Astyanax mexicanus: one gene and its partner. The protein of the gene in region 2 interacts with the protein of the main gene of each other region in a pairwise test. Links are inferred from orthologs where the notes say so. Each region holds a gene or a part of one and is shown on either strand. Other genes may lie near its edges.

What was found. The genes of interacting proteins can lie anywhere in the genome.
Region 1: the proteins of mcm10 (region 2) and cep72 interact in a two-hybrid assay, tested with the Homo sapiens proteins (2 studies listed by BioGRID and IntAct). The two-hybrid records come from large-scale screens. The link is inferred for Astyanax mexicanus from reciprocal best matches to the Homo sapiens genes MCM10 and CEP72.

Annotation. Positions count from the first base shown.
Region 1 is NC_064408.1:122,668,469-122,676,882, forward strand, and holds the start of cep72 (centrosomal protein of 72 kDa), read left to right. Parts: upstream 1-4,819; 5' UTR 4,820-4,826; coding exon 4,827-4,935; intron 4,936-7,462; coding exon 7,463-7,596; intron 7,597-8,414. Other genes in the region: spire1b (protein spire homolog 1), read right to left, coding at 886-917, 2,617-2,902. UniProt on the Homo sapiens protein: Involved in the recruitment of key centrosomal proteins to the centrosome.
Region 2 is NC_064409.1:12,340,344-12,348,579, reverse strand, and holds the start of mcm10 (protein MCM10 homolog), read right to left. Parts: upstream 3,838-8,236; 5' UTR 3,489-3,837; coding exon 3,482-3,488; intron 1,900-3,481; coding exon 1,663-1,899; intron 1,558-1,662; coding exon 1,249-1,557; intron 424-1,248; coding exon 213-423; intron 1-212. UniProt on the Homo sapiens protein: Acts as a replication initiation factor that brings together the MCM2-7 helicase and the DNA polymerase alpha/primase complex in order to initiate DNA replication. Additionally, plays a role in preventing DNA damage during replication.

The DNA.
Region 1 (8,414 bases), on a different chromosome or scaffold from region 2:
AAGAATACATGATAAATTGAATAGAGGAAACTTTTTTTACTTTATTATAAACATCTCAGCTTGGTTGTAGGGATTTCTGAATTAGAACTTAGAATTTGCTGAGTATAAAAGAGCGTTTTCACACCTGTAGTTGTGAAAATTTCTATGGTCTGGATCAGTTGATGAGTTTGTTTATTTGGAGCGTTTCTCCCTCTGTTTGGTTTGGTTTTTTACATAGATAGATCTCTGTAAAAATGAAGGTCGCACTTCAGTTTCTGAATCAGTTTCTCTGATTTTGCTATTTATAGGTTTATGTTTGAGTAAAATGAACATTGTTGTTTTATTCTATAAACTACAGACAACATTTCTCCCAAATTCCAAAATAAAGAGCATTTATTTTAGAGCATTTATTTGCAGAAAATAAGAAATAACTAAAAATTACAAAAAAGATGCAGAGCTTTCAGACCTCAAATAATCCAAAGAAAACAAGTTCACATTCAGTTCAGAAATCAATATTTGGTGGAATAACCCTGGTTTTTAATCACAGTTTTCATGCATCTCGGCATCATGTTCTCCTCCACCAGTCTTACACACTGCTTTTGGATAACTTTATGTTTCAAACTAAAATTTAAGCAGTTCAGTTTGGTGGTTTGATGACTTGTGATCATCCATCTTCCTCTTAATTATATTCCAGAGGTTTTTGGTATAATTTGGTAAAATCAAAGAAGCTCATTATTTTTAAGTGCTCTCTTATTTTTTCGGTTACTGTGTTTCTTTTACTCTTTTTAATACCATTGATTTCAGAAGACACAAGGAATGAGCAGTCTTGTTCCCAGTACTGCCATTGTCCAATGACAGTCCCTGTTTAGGAAGTTATCAGTGTTGATATAGAGTAGCTGTACTCACCCACACTGCTGAGGATGCCGCCTGGCCTTTACCTGCGGAATAAGAAAGAGCAGCACTGTCATTACCGGACAAGCACAAATTTGGATGATGTTTATTGATTATTAAGGCCTACAGGGTTTAGCGTTTTTCCTTTGATTGCAATATATTGAGTAAGACCACACAAGCTTATTTTAGACACCAAACATAACATATCAGCTGTACACTTGCTTTTCTGGACAAGCTGAGGGACACAGAAGCAGCATATGAAATATTTTACCAGAGCCTACAGAAGAAGGCCTACACAGTGCAGTTGTGTTGAAAGGGATGGTACTTTCATTCAATTTCATGGCGCTGTATTTAGTGCAGACCTAGTTTAGTGTCTTTCCTGCTGTATCACACCTGCGCCAGCTCATCAGGAGCCTGTTAATCAGCTGAGGAGTGAGTCAGAGCAGAGAACACACCAGGCCAGGCTGTGCTCTGAACCTGTGCTGGTCCTGATTAAGAAAAACAAGCTGCTGTTTCTTCCCCTATCACGTCTCTGAGGCCAGAAAAGTGAAACTAAGAGTGATGTGAATACTGGACACGCCCATTCAGGCCATGTTAGAGATGGTGTACACAGTGTGTGTGTGCTGCCTGTGGCTGTGTACTCAAAGGGTACACCTATTAACTCACTTAGCTCCATCTAATTACACCGTAAACACACAGCATTCCTGAAGAGCGGGCACTTTAAAGCCACAGCCAGAGAGTTTTAGATGTTTTCACTTGAGATGGGAACAGTAGGCCATTAGCTCAGACATTAGATCGGTTACAGCATCAGATTTATTCTTTTTCTAATCAGTTTGAATTCACTCAATTGTAAGTTTATAATATATACCCATCTATGCCCATCCCCAACCATCCATACTAATTCATATCCATATTCATAAACAATAAAATCCATCCATATCTGTCCATACACATCCATCCTAATCCATAACCTTCCTAACAATTCATACTCATCTGTATCCATCCATATCTATACCTTTTCTAACCTGTAATCCTGTAATTCTCTAATCCAGAATAAACCACACATAGAAATACCCATCCATACATACCATTAGCCATCAATCTGTATCTATACTTAAACATTCTTATACATTCCCATTCTAATCTGTATATACCCATAATACATGCCGATACTCATCCATGCATACCCTTAGCCATTAATCTGTATCCATCCTTATACATTCCCATACCCATTCTAATCTGTATATACCCATAATACATAGCCATACCCATCTATACATACCCATTTACACCCATCCATACATAGCTACTCATACCCATCTATTCATACACATACCCATCCATACATAGCTACTCATATCCATCCATACATATCTATTCATACTCATCCCTATCCATACATCACAGTGTTTACATTGTCAGATCATTAACACACTGCCCTCTCTCGCGCTCGCGACTGCAGGCCTGACTGAATGCACTGTGTTATATAACCAGCCATTCCTTCACGGGGCTCGAGATGCAGATGGTGATGATGCCTACTGGAGCTTCCATAGAGTGCTCACTGTGCTAAACGCACAAACAACAAATGCATGCATGCACGCATTCACACATGCATGCTTGCACGCATTCACACATGCATGCATGCACGCACGTGCTGGTGCATGCACCCTGCAGAGGATGCACAGATTTTTCTGCAGCTGGTTATTGCAGTTATGTGATTATGGGATGCAGGAGATCAGTGTTTACCTGCGGGCTGAAGCCGCACTGTGCCGTTCTGGTGTATCCACACGTCCTCCGGACCCTCGATGACCCCCCGGGGGTGCAGCCCCGCGCGCCTGGGTCCCGGGCCGCCCCGCTCCGCCAGGGTCCGGCAGCACTGGTAGCACACGGCCCAGGCCTGCTCCTCATTTATGGGCTGGTTATAGAGGGTCAGTATCTCCTGCAGAGTCAGCTCCTCTCCTTCATCTTCATCCTCCTCCTCCTCCTCCTCCTCCTCGCGCACCCTGGCCTCCATCAGCTCGCGCGCAGACATCCTCTCATCCTCTCCTCATCCTCTGCTCATCCTCCGCTCGCGCTGTCCGCGTGGGTATCAGTATCTGTGGTCATTCAGAGCCCAATACTGCCCAATACTGCCCACCCGCCCCGAAAGCGCAGCTCAGCACAACACACCAATCACATGACCGCGCAGCGCAGAGAGGGGCGGGGCCTCAGCACTGAACACACAATATATATATATATATATATATATATATATATATACACGTATATATATATATATATATACGTGTATATATATATATATATATATGTATATATATATATATATATATATATATATATATATACGTATATATATATATATATATATATATATATACGTATATATATATATATATATATATATATATATATATATATATATATAACGAAAACATATTAAAAAGGTGAATATTAAAAATATTGAATATATTCTTATCACTTCATACGTATCTCTGTCAGTTATGTACTTATACTTACTTATAAAAATAGCCCCAAATATTTTTTTATTAATTAATTAATTTTATTTACTTATTTATTTTTGATGATAAGTAATGTACTATCTTGGTCACTTACTGATAGACAAAGGATATAATGTATTCCTCACTTTTGTGTTTTAGTATATTTTTTTGTTACTTTGCATTATTTTAATTTAATTTATAACATATGTATTATTATTATTTTATACAAAATATTATATGCACGTTATTATCTTGGTCAGCTCCTGCTGTTTACGAAGGCTTACAGATTTTCTGTTTGTACTAAATTTAATCTAATTATAATATATATATATATATATATATATATATATATATATATATATATATATTTTTTTTTTTTTTTTTTTACTGTAAAGCTTTAGGGATATTTTTGTATAATTTTTGATATATATTTTGTGCAAATAGTTTTATACAATAAGTTACTTGGTGAATCTTGGTAAGATTGCTTGTTTTTGTCTAATAAATATTTAAAATTGTTATGCTAAATAAAACATTTAACATTTATTTTGTTAGCATATTCTTCAAAATAAACAAATATATTGTCACTTGCCTGAAGTACTATAGTAACCACAGAGTAACACCACAGTAACCACACTTTAACAACTTTCTAACTCTATGACAACCACCCAAAATACCTAAGCGTACATGCCAGCCACCCAGGTGTCCTAGGTGGTTACCATGCAGTTGCTTGGTTATTGCTATTCTTCCTATGCTTGGAGGTGCTATGCTGTTGTTAAGCAGTTGGTATGGTATCAAATGTGGTTTCTTTGAACTTGCTTGCTGGTGTCATCCTGTTTCATCCCGATATTAAGCCAGTACTTACTTGTCCCAGGTGGTTGCTAGGTGGTTGCTAGGTAGAGTATGCTGTAGCTCAGCAGTTGCTATGGCATCCCGGGTGGTCGAGATGCTGTTGCTGCTAGGTAGTTGCTATAGTTTCCGAAGTGCTTGCTTGTTAGGGTGGTTGTGCGATATTGAAAGTGCTTTCTATGTGGTTGTTGTGGTGTTTCAGGTGGTTGCTAGTGTGTTGCTATGGTGTTGTCCCACATTGTTTTAAGGTACTACCATCACAAAAACACAAGAGGGCGATCAGTCATTGTTATGGGGAGATAATCAGTGTTAAAATATAGCCATCTCTATCTACACGGCTCTGATTAGCTGGATGTGTCCTAAATCGCACCCACGCTGCCTACTTAGGCGGTATTCGGAGGCAGGAAGGTTCAATATGTTATCCTACCCGTCTTAAATGGAAATAAAGCTTCAGAACTTAAAACTCTAATATGTAAAAGAGCGCAAGTGATCCTGTGGAAGCGTCAGTTTGGGTTTCGGAGCCCTTAATCCAGAGGCTGCTCCCTTTTTCTGAGCTCCCTTCAGTTTGGGACACCGCCGTTTACAGAGCTAGGGCGCAGCTGAGTGAGGCGCATGCGCAGAGCGCGTCTCCTCCGGCCGTTTGAAACCATGGCGGCAGATAGCGTATCAGTAACAGAGCAGTGGATCCGGGAAAAGCTCAGCCTGCAGCACCGCTGTCTGGGTAAACTTCACTTTATATATCTGTACAGACTCTACACACCTTTATTAACCGTATCACTATCTTATACGTATGTTATAAACGCTTTAAAGCGTTTAAATCGCACAGTGTTTTCAAGCTAGCACCGTTGTCGCGCAGGTAAACAGTAATTTGTAACGTTAGCTAGTTAATTTAGCTAATCTAGTTACCTTAGTTTAAAGCAGCAGTCCTTAAAGTTTTGTCTTTTAAATTGATAATAATAGTGTTTCTGAGTTTGGAAAAGGGAAAATATCCTGATAAATAGCGTCAGTGTGCTTCTGCTACTATTCCTGCCAAGCCACATACAGTATATTCATTCTAAAAACACAGTTAGTGGTCTGGTAATTAGGTCTCAACAGGAGCTTTTTCTGACTATGAAACCTTAAGCTGTTGCTGGTTACCCGATTAACTATGGTGCTGCTAATAGTGCTGATACTAGAGCTACTGCGAACATGGAGATATCAGACCAGCAAACTCACCAGCCTTTATTTGCACATTCACTCATTGTAAGCCAAATAAATGCAGAATTAGAACTAAAGAGAACAAGGGCTGTCGCGATAATTACGCTGTTGACTAGGGGTGGGCGATATGGCCCCAAAAGTAATATCACGATATTTCACGGTCTTATCACAATAACGATACTCTTGCCGATATGACAAAAACATAAAAATAAAAAATACACTACTGCAACAAAACAAAACTTACATTTTATTATTGTATACGTTATGATACAGCACACCCCTAACTGACATATAAAATAAAATACAATAATTTTATCAGATTTGTAACAGAAGTCAATGATCCAGAATGTCATGATACTAATAATAATGCACTCCAAATATCTCCATATATCCAGGATTAAAGTAAAATAAATGATACTGGACAGATATAATCTGTCTCTAGTAGATATTTAATTGTAAATGAGAAATGTGTGACTTTTTTTTTCGCTTAATCAGCAAAAAAGTAGGATAAAAAAGTGATAATTAGGGGTGAGTGTTATGGCACGATATTTCAGGGTATAATATCGTTCACGATATTCAAAAATGTTGGCGATATTATCGCGTACGATATGATATGGCACACCCCTACCGTTGACGTATCGTAACATGATGTTGATCAATATTTTGTTTATGTTTATGATAGTTTGTTTATGTTATTCAAGCTAGGGCTGGACAGTTATATATATATATATAAAAAAAAGAATTCTTCAAATATATGAACAAGTCTAAATTTTGATTTTGATTTTACAGTGGTATAAAAAAAAAGTTTGGTCACCCCTGATAATTTTCATTATTTTCCTTTATACACCATTGATTGCTCGGATTAGCAATTTTAGTTAAATATATCATATATCAGACAAAGTAAGATATAGCGAAGAAGTAAAAAAAATTAAGTTTATAGGATCTACAGAAAGTGTGCAATAATTATTTAAACAAAATTAGGCAGGTGCGTAAATTTCAGCAACCCAGCAGAAAAATCAAATCAATATTTAGTAGAGATCCTCCTTTTGCAGAAATCTAAACAGCATTTAAACTCTTCCTATAGCTTCCATTGAAAGTCTGGCCTCTTGTTGAAGGTATTTTGGATCATTCTTCTTTACAAAACATCATCTGTTCAGTCAGGTTTGATTCAGGTTTATGATCATGAACAGCTGCTTTAAATCACACCACAGATTATATTTCAATAATATTCAGATCTGGGGTCTGAGATGATCATTCCAGAACGTTGTAATTTTTGTTGCTCTGCATGAATGCTTTAGTGCTTTAGTAGATTTTGAGTAGTGTTTAGTGTTTAGGGTCGTTGTCTTGTTAAAGTATCCAGCCCCGGCGCTTCAAACTTCAACTTTCTCACTGATTCTTGTTCTCAAGACTCTGCTGATATTGACTGAAATCCATGCGACCCTCAACTTTAACAAGATTCCCGGTACCTGCACTGGTCCCACAGCCCCAAAGCATGATGGAACTGGCACTAATTTTACTGTGGGGAGCAGTAAAGTGATTGTGTTGGAATACTGTGTACTTTTTCCTCTGTGCATATAAATAACCACCCTCCAAATAACCCTGAAATTTTAGTTTCATCAGTCCACAGAACCTTATTCCAAATGTGCTTTAGCTTTAGCATACCTGAAGCGACTCTGTTTGTGGCGTGTGCTCAGAAAAGGCTTCTTCTACATTAATTTTCTCCCATACAGCCTCTCCTTGTTTAAACGATGCACAGTGACTCCATCTGCAGTAAGATGATGATGATGTCTTTGGAGCTCTGGAGGTCTGTTTGTTGACTATGACTGTTCTCACCATCCTTCTCCTCTGATTATCTGAGATCTTTCTTGTTCTGCAGCTTCAGTTCTTAACTAGACCTGTGCCTGTGGTTCTTCCATTTCCTCACTATGTTCCTCACAATGGAAAATGTAGCTGACAGTACGGACTGTGACTTTCGCGACCTAAAGCATAGTCAGGCTCTTGATTGATTGATTATCTATAGTTAATTTATCAGTTTCTGTTTGAACCCACAGCGGATGTCCGATCACTGAGCCTCCCTGGATCTGGATATGAAACGGGGAAGATCTGTCATCTGGGAATCTCTCTGAAGAATTTTGTCCGTCTGAAAAGTCTGGATCTCTCTTACAATGTACTGGATTCAGTTCAGGTAAGATACACACTAGGGGTGGGTGATATGGCCCTAAAATAATATCACAATATTTCATGTTTTTTTTTTCGTGATAACGATACGACAATATGATATGACATAACATGATATGACAATAACGATATGACAAAACACTGAGTTAAATAAAAAATATTTCCAGAATACACTACTGCAACAAAATGAATATTAAATGTTATTATTGCATATGATATGATATGGCAAACCCCTAATAATGAGATATTAAAAAAATACAAGGATTGTATCAGAATTGTAACAGAAGTCAGAATCCAGATGATACTACTGATATAATCTGTCTCTAGTAGATATATCATGGGAAATGAGTGTGATTTTTTGATGACACATCACAATATACAGTTTGATCAATCAATTAATCAATCAATCTATCAATAATACCACCCCACCCCTTGATGACATCCAACCATCTATATCTCACCACTGCTATCAGAGGCACACTACTCAGTCCAATCAGCTCTCCCTCCTGGCCCGCCCCTAAACCCATACATCACCCAGTGCCCCTCCCAAGCTAGTCTAGACTTTTTTAAATTTGAGCTCTACCTCTTTACAACTTTACAACTGATGCTCTTAAACATATTATGAGACAAGAAATTCAAGTAATTAACTCTTGATGAGTTCAGCACAGCTGTTAACTGAAAACCTGAATTCCAGGAGACTCTACCACATAAAACTGACTGAGAAAATCCAGCAGAGATGTGCTAAACTGTCTAATCTAAGCAAGAGATGCTACTTTGAGGAATCTAAAATATAAAACATATTCTGGTTTAACACTTTTTTTAATT
Region 2 (8,236 bases):
ACACATTCCATATTCTCTTTCAAAATAGAATCAATCCTTTGTATTGCATGATGACCCTTTCATGATTTTTAAAAGAAAAAAATCCCTACACATCACCGTACATATGTTCCAGTTCAGATTTCATTTTAAAAGATCAAGTATTGTTATGACTGTAGAGATTTAGTCACATTTTCTTTGTTAATCTAGCTCTCTCAAAAAGACTAGATACACACCTTAGACGAAGACCTGAGAATTTCTCCACAGCAACGTCCTGAGTAGAAGGTGGTCGGGGTGTGGCTTGTCTTGCAATGGGAGGAGCTACACCAGCCATTTTACTTGGTGGCGGTGACGTCATGGTATTGTTAATTTTACCGCTACTTCTCATCGGCTGTGACAACCTGTCACCCACACTCTGACTCTGCACACTCCGGTTTTCTGCAGAGGCTGAAGGAGGGCAGGGCAAAAAGAAGAAAGTGAAGTTGAGTCTGAGTCAGATTAGCATTGAATGAACTCAAATAAACAATCATTAAACAGGAAGCACCCAATGCAAGAACTGTCTCACATTATGCTAATACACAGATTCCCAAACAGAAAATAAGCCTAGACTTAAACCATACAGCATTTTTAAAGATTGAAAGGAATATTAAATCTATGGCTTAATCCCTGTCCAGGAAACCGACCCATAATATGAAATGCTCAAACAAGATAAAACTAAAAACACTTACAAATAAACATTTAACTGAAACATACTAATTCAAAACCTTACTTTTTTTTTTATCAAAAAGTAATTTAAAAGTTGACAGTTAAAGTAACATTAATGATTATATTTTCAGCAGTAAATGATAAAACAATTAGGGTGTATCATCAAAGTTCAAGCACTGCCATCTGTTGTCTGCAGAGCTAAACCCAGTATTTTATTACTAGAACTGTGCAGTACATCACAGAAACCAGTGTGGGTGTTGGCTTCTGCCTCTGCCTGCTTCTCATTCCCCAACACTCATTATGTAAAGTTATATAAAATCCACATAAGATGGTTAATAATGTCGTTTGCCATGATTGAAGTTGTTGAATTCGTCTTGCACTTGTTTGTGTAGGTTCAGTGTTTTCAGCTTGGCAACCCGAGTGAGCTTTGTGTCTGTGGAAGGGTGGGCAGGGCAGACAACTCTATCTGGTGTTTTGAAACTGGACTGCTGTAGCGCTTATTTTCTACTGATCGCATCTTAACTGTGTTTAATTGCTCTCTGTACATACATAAGAAAAAACATGTACCTGCTTTGGCTTGGTGTGCAGTTATCTGCCTGCCCTCTGTTTCTAGAGGTGGAGACCCTATAGCCCCTCTCGGTGCAGATGGGGGGGATTGGCTGGGAAGACGTGTTTGTAGAGCAGGTTTGCTAGACTGCTGAGGAGAGGTCAGGCGCTTGGCAGGAAGCTTTGCTGCTGGTGAAGTTCTGCTGCTTATCTGTTTCTGTGAGGAGGGTTTATCTTCAGCAGGTTTGGGTTTATAATCTGCACCTTTCTGAGATGCCTGCAGCTGCTGCTGTAGCTTCTGCATCTTCTCACGCATGCTCCTCAACTCCGCTAAAGTTTTACAACAGGAATTTCAATAGAACATGTCAACTTAAGATTCTCAGTAATTTTTATTTAAATAAAATGTTACATTAGCGTAAAACTATTTAACCTTACCCTCCAAGTCCTCTTTGGATTTATTGAGTTCACTTTCCACTTCTGCACTTGAGTTTGCAGCTTCCACAACCTCTTCTGCTTCTTCTTCTTCTGGCTCAGCATAGGCTTCTCCTTCATCACCATCATCATCAAACAGATTATCCAGATTGTCCTCTTCTCCAGCAGCAGAAGTCTCTATCTTCTGACCCTGACTCTCCTCAAACAAGGAAAGCAGCAGGTCCAGGTTCTCATCCTCTGCTGTTAATCGTAAATCAGAAAGCACTGGCATTATAAAGTCCATCTTCATAAAACTTAGAAAGATAAGTAATTATATTTATTATTGAAATCTAACAATTAGGATACTTGAAATCCCATATTAAACACAAACCCAAAGCTTGTGTAGAATTTACAGCACTGATATAATGTTAATATTAAAGCATGACACTACAATTACACCCTCCTAAAGAGCAGTGAACTAGTGGTGTGTTATATTGTATCATATAAATGTTTTTTGACACACTGAAACCATATTGTGATATGTCGATATTTTTGGAAGCTAGGCCTTTCACAATAACTACATTATTGTCTTATCATACAATAAATTGACATGCCCTCAATAATATTTGATATTCATGATATTGTCCACTCCATTCTCATGTTGTGGACAGCAGTAGGGGAAGAATTAAGCATATATCCCCCAATCTATGATTAATTAACATTGTGTTGTTTATGTAAGGGTTTAATTGCTTTGTCATGCTACTATATTATCATTATAATTACTTGAATTTAATGGTCTTAAAATTACAAAAATATTGTTTATCGTAATAATTTCTGGGACAATATATCTTCCTTGTAAAATACCTAATGGAAGCTGTTTATTTTGTATTTGATTGATTTACACTATTTACTTTTAATTGTTTGTTTGTAGTTTATATGCAGACTGTAAATATGCTGACAAAACAATGGACTGTAAAGATATCAGCAAAGCCTCGTAAATGTATTGAGCTCATGTCCGTATATTGTACAGTAAATCTATGACGTAATTATCGTTACCAGGGCTAAATGTGGGAGTATACTCACTTATTTACATAATGTATATAAACATAATTATAACCATTATAGGTTAACTAACTTGGTTTTGCTAAATTATCTAACGATGGCTAATCTAACTTGCCTGACTTTTTACCAAACAATAACTGTTACCTAATAATAAACCATATGAACAACAGGCACACAAACAGAGACGAGGTAAGACAGATTCTCTAAATCTGCTAATAACAAGCTCTGTTTATAAAACAACAAAAAAAACTAATTTCCAGCTCCACCTTAACCCTTTTAGACATGAATTATCTCCAGTGATGGAAATAATGGTAAACAAATAAATCATAGCTATTACCTGGAATATTTAATAATTTATTTTTTTATAGTGACATTTTTATTTTATTAACAGTAAAATTAAAAAGTGTTCTAAATCACTATATTTATATTTTATCACTATCATTATATTTGTAAAAAAAAAAAAAAAAAAAGTTACTTTGCCTTAATGGCTCTAGTACTACTGTTTTCCCAGTGCAGTGGATGTGACCAAGCTGCTGTTTCGTTTATAATTGGCTGTTGCATGGTCTGTTCTGATGGACAACAGCTCTTAAATAGTGTTATGTGCAACAAAATGTTTAAAAATAAAGAAAATACATGATGTCTATTGTAAAGTATGCAGGGTCTAAAAGGGTTAAAACCCGCCGCTGTCTGAAGCGAACTATGAGCTACTGTATGTAACCGGCGCGCCATTTAAGGTGGAAAGTTTAAAAGCCAAATTCAACCAGCTTCTAGATCTACTTACCAGTCATCTCTGCAGCTCCAGTCCTTCTCTCTGAACTGAAGCAGCGCTGTGTTTATCTGATGGAAGATTCTGATGAGTCTGATGTTCAGTATTTTTTCAGGGTCAAATGAATCTGTAGCTCTGAAGAACAGATCTGTCGATTTGTTCTTCTGAACTCAAAAACAGAATAACACACAGTCCGCCCCCCAGCTCTCACACCAGCAACACACCAATCACAACAATGCTACAGTACCGGGCTTATTATATTCCTAAATATTTAATATATCAGGAATATGGACTCCAAATCCAGGTAAAATGTTGTTCAGCCCGTTCCCGTCTGCTGCTGCTCTGCGGTGGCGCGAAAAATGTTAAAATATGATACGCCCTAAACCGACGTCAGTACAAAAGGCAACACCAGTGCCTGTTCAAAAAACATATATATGAATTAAGAGTAATAATAACAGAGAAGTAATTTTAGTTATGTATGTTATGTATAGATATCGTTTATGAATGACACTATATAGATAACATTCTGTTTCTAATTGATTTGATTATTAATGGGTTTTACGATTCTCTGTCTCCCGCTTCGTATCTACAGGCGCACACAGGATGCCAGGCGGTCCTTAAGGTGCTGATCTTCAAATCATCTGCGCGGTAAAGTTCTTCGTCCTCATGCAGTGTAGATCATACCGTTCGTATCTGAAACGTAACACATGCTGACTTGCTGCCCACACTCAACTACCAGACCTAACTTAAAGTCAGTGTAGTGATCACAGGCGCCGCTAGCCCTTTACTGGGGTGTTTTTGTAGTTTTCTTTTTGTTTTGAGTAAATTTGTCTTACAAATTTTCAAACCTTGAAAACTATACATATTATTTTAATAACGAAAATACAGGGGTTGGACAATCAAACAGAAACACCTGGTTTTAGAACACAATTTATTCTCCAGACAGACAGTTCTGGTGAAAACAGGAGAGTTTTTGTGTTTGGATTTTGCTTTCATTTTACAAATCCTTAAAAATAAGTCCAAAATATGTGTACTGCAGTTTTAAAAATATTGACTAGGTGCTTCTTTAATAAAAAAAAATTTGACACAATGAAAATACTCCATATCATAATATCACAATATTTTTGGAAGCTTTTAAGTGTTCGTTTGCAATTTTTTAAGCAGACCTTTGTTTTATGGCATTTTTTTTGGTAGTTACACTAGAGTTTGTTTTTAGTAATTTTTTTTTTAAATGTTCAAACCTTAAAAGTATACATATTATTTTTACAATGAAAATATATGGAGTTAATTTTATGCCAAAGGTTTGACACAAATTAATAAAACCTGCAAACAAAAGTTTAAAAATCAAATGTAAAATAATATTTATCCTTTGCAGTTATTGGAAAATGATTTGCGTTTAGGTTTAGGTTGTCTTTGTTGTTTTTGCACTTTGTTGGATTTTTGCTGATAAGGTCTTCTGCTTCTGGAATATCTCGAGGTTAAACCTCTGATCCTAGAATCGCCACTGTAGGATCTGTAGTGATGAAATGACAGCTCCCTGCTACCTAATGAGTGTTTAGCCGTGTTGTCATACAGTGAAACAGAAGGCTAGATTACTAACTTCAGATCAGACATGGCTGGGAGCCTCCTGCATTCATTCAGAAACAGATTAAAGTCATATCAGAGCTGTTTTTATGGAGAGACTGTCCACCTTCATATATGCCCTATATATGAGAAAATGACTTTTAACCGCTAGAGGGAGCCATCGAGTGAGTCTTCAGTGAATGGTGGTGAATGACTCTAAACAGATTAAACCTCAAATAAAAATAGTAACTAACCATTTGGCCAATATATTCATTTAATTTCATAAAGTAGATTAAAGTTACTGAAAAGACAAAGAAAAGGCAAAGAAAACATACCAATATATTTTTTCTACAGCAAACGGGTTATAGGCAGTAAAGACGCAAGCATTAGAGTTTAAAAGGTTTATAGCTGGAGTTTAAAAGCTTTAAAAATGTATATGTCTGAGGTACAAAAACATTTTAATTTGTCTTGTGTTAAAAAAATGTAAGTAAAATTTTCAGTGTACAAATGATCAAGCATTTGTTGACAACAATTTTGCTCAGTTGCTCCATATGAACCTATTAAATCTGGGCTCACTTGGGAGCGCCCTCTGGTGGTAAAACAAACCCGGCAAAGATTATTAAGTGGGCAATCGTTTGTGTAGAAGTTCTGTGGTTTTAGTGTCGCTGTTAAAATAGAAAAAAAAATGAAACATCGCAGCTGTCCATTTGGCCTGGAAATTTCTTTGATTTTGAAAAATCATAATTATGTACAAAGAAAATCCCCCTATATTATTTAGTTTTTCTACATTAAACGGATCGAACTCAAGCCCTGGGTTTGAAATGTTTATAACTGGAGTTTGAAAACTTAAAAAACTATATAGCTGCGGTATTAAAACATGAACTATTGTTCTGTGGTGATGAAATGAGAACATTAAATATTATAAACTTTTTGATCAGTTAATCCGTAGAAAATTATTAATTGTGGGGCTTATTCAGAAGCGCCCTTTGGTGGTTAAAAAAACCAACCGGCAATAAATTATTTTGTGTGCATTCTCCTGTGTAGAGGTTCTGTGGTTTTAGTGCCGCTGTTACACATAGTAGACTTGATAATAAAGTCGTAATATGAGGGCTGGTTTATGGAGAGACTGCCCACTGTACTATCTCCACCGTTAAATCAGGAAATTGCTGATAACCTCTAGAGGGAATGAGTCCAAAATGAATGGGGGTGAATGGAGCTAAATAGCTGAAACTCAAAATAAAAATAGTACTGTTCACCTAGCCAGGAAATTCCTTTAATGTAGGAAATTAGAATTATGTACAAAGAAAAACTCACTTTATTTTTCAGTTTTTCTACAGTAAACAGATTTTAGGCAGTAAAGGCACTACTGCTACTGTGAGCTGACTGGAAGATGAGCTGATACTGGAGTTACAGTTAGAGCACTGTGTTTAAAATATTTATAACTGGAGTTTAAAAGCTTTAAAATATTTCTGCGGTATAAAAAACGTGATATTCTTCTGTGTTGATGGAATGAGAACACTAAACATTTATAAACCCGAATTTCGCTCAGTTTTTTGCTCCATTGTGAAATTGTGGGGCTCACTCGGGAGCGCCCTCTGGTGGTAAAAAAACGGAACTAGATTATTTAGTGTGAAATTAAACATAGTAACTGTCCATTTAGCCAGAACATTATTTTAATGTTGGAAATTAGAATTATGTACAAAGAAAACCTCCATTTATGTTTCAGTTTTTCTACAGTAAACGAATTTTAGACAGTAAAAAGTGCTGTAGTACTACTACTGTGAGAAAGTAAAACATTTATAAACTTAGATTTTGCTCAATGGATCCATATGAACGTAGTATATTTTTGCTCACTCGACAGCGCCCTCTGGTGGTCAAAAACGGGAATAGATTATTTAGTGTGTATTCTGTGGTTTTGGTGTCGCTGTTAAAAACAGTAGACCTCGATAATAAAGCTGTAATATCAGAGCTGGTTTATGGAGAGACTGCCTTCTTTTTTTCTCCACCATTATATCAGAAAATGACTATTGTTCTATGTTGATGAAATGATAACATTAACCATTTTTGAACTCAAAAATGCTCAATTGCTCCATATGAATTTATTCGTTTTGGGCTCACTCGACAGCGCCCTCTGGTGGTAAAAAAATAGGAATAGATTATTTAGTGTGAAATTAAACAGTAACTGTTCACTTAGCCAGAAAATCCTTTAATGTTGAAAATTAGAATTATGTACAAAGAAAACCTCCATTTATTTTTCAGTTTTTCTACAGTAAACGAATTTTAGGCAGTAAAGGCGCTGCATTACTGCTACTGTGAGCTGACGGATTGGTGAGCTGATGCTGGAGTTACAGTCAGAGCACTGAGTTTAAAATATTTATAACTGGAGTTTAAAACCTAAAACATTATATCTGCGGTATTAAAATATGTGATATTTGTTCTGTGTTGATGAAATGAGAACATAAAACATTTATAAACTTAGATTTTGCTCAATGGATCATTAAGAACGTATTCATTTTGGGCTCAACAGCGCCATCTGGTGGTCAAAAACGGGAATAGATTATTTAGTGTGTATTCTGTGGTTTTAGTGTCGCTGTTAAAAACAGTAGACCTCGATAATAAAGCTGTAATATCAGAGCTGGTTTATAGAGAGACTGCCTACTTTTTTTTCTCCACCATTATATCAGAAAATGACTATTGTTCTATGTTGATGAAATGATAACATTAACCATTTTTGAACACAAAAATGCTCAATTGCTCCATAGGAACTTATTCGTTTTGGGCTCACTCGACAGCGCCCTCTGGTGGTAATAAAAAACAGTAATAGATTATTTAGTGTGAAATTAAACAGTAACTGTTCACTTAGCCAGAAAATCCTTTGATGTTGAAAATTAAAATTATGTACAAAGAAAACCTCCATTTATTTTTCAGTTTTTCTACAGTAAACGAATTTTAGGCAGTAAAGGCGCTGCATTACTGCTACTGTGAGCTGACGGATTGGTGAGCTGATGCTGGAGTTAAAGTCAGAGCACTGAGTTTAAAATATTTATAACTGGAGTTTAAAACCTAAAACATTATATCTGCGGTATTAAAATATGTGATATTTGTTCTGTGTTGATGAAATGAGAACATAAAACATTTATAAACTTAGATTTTGCTCAATGGATCATTAAGAACGTATTCATTTTGGGCTCAACAGCGCCATCTGGT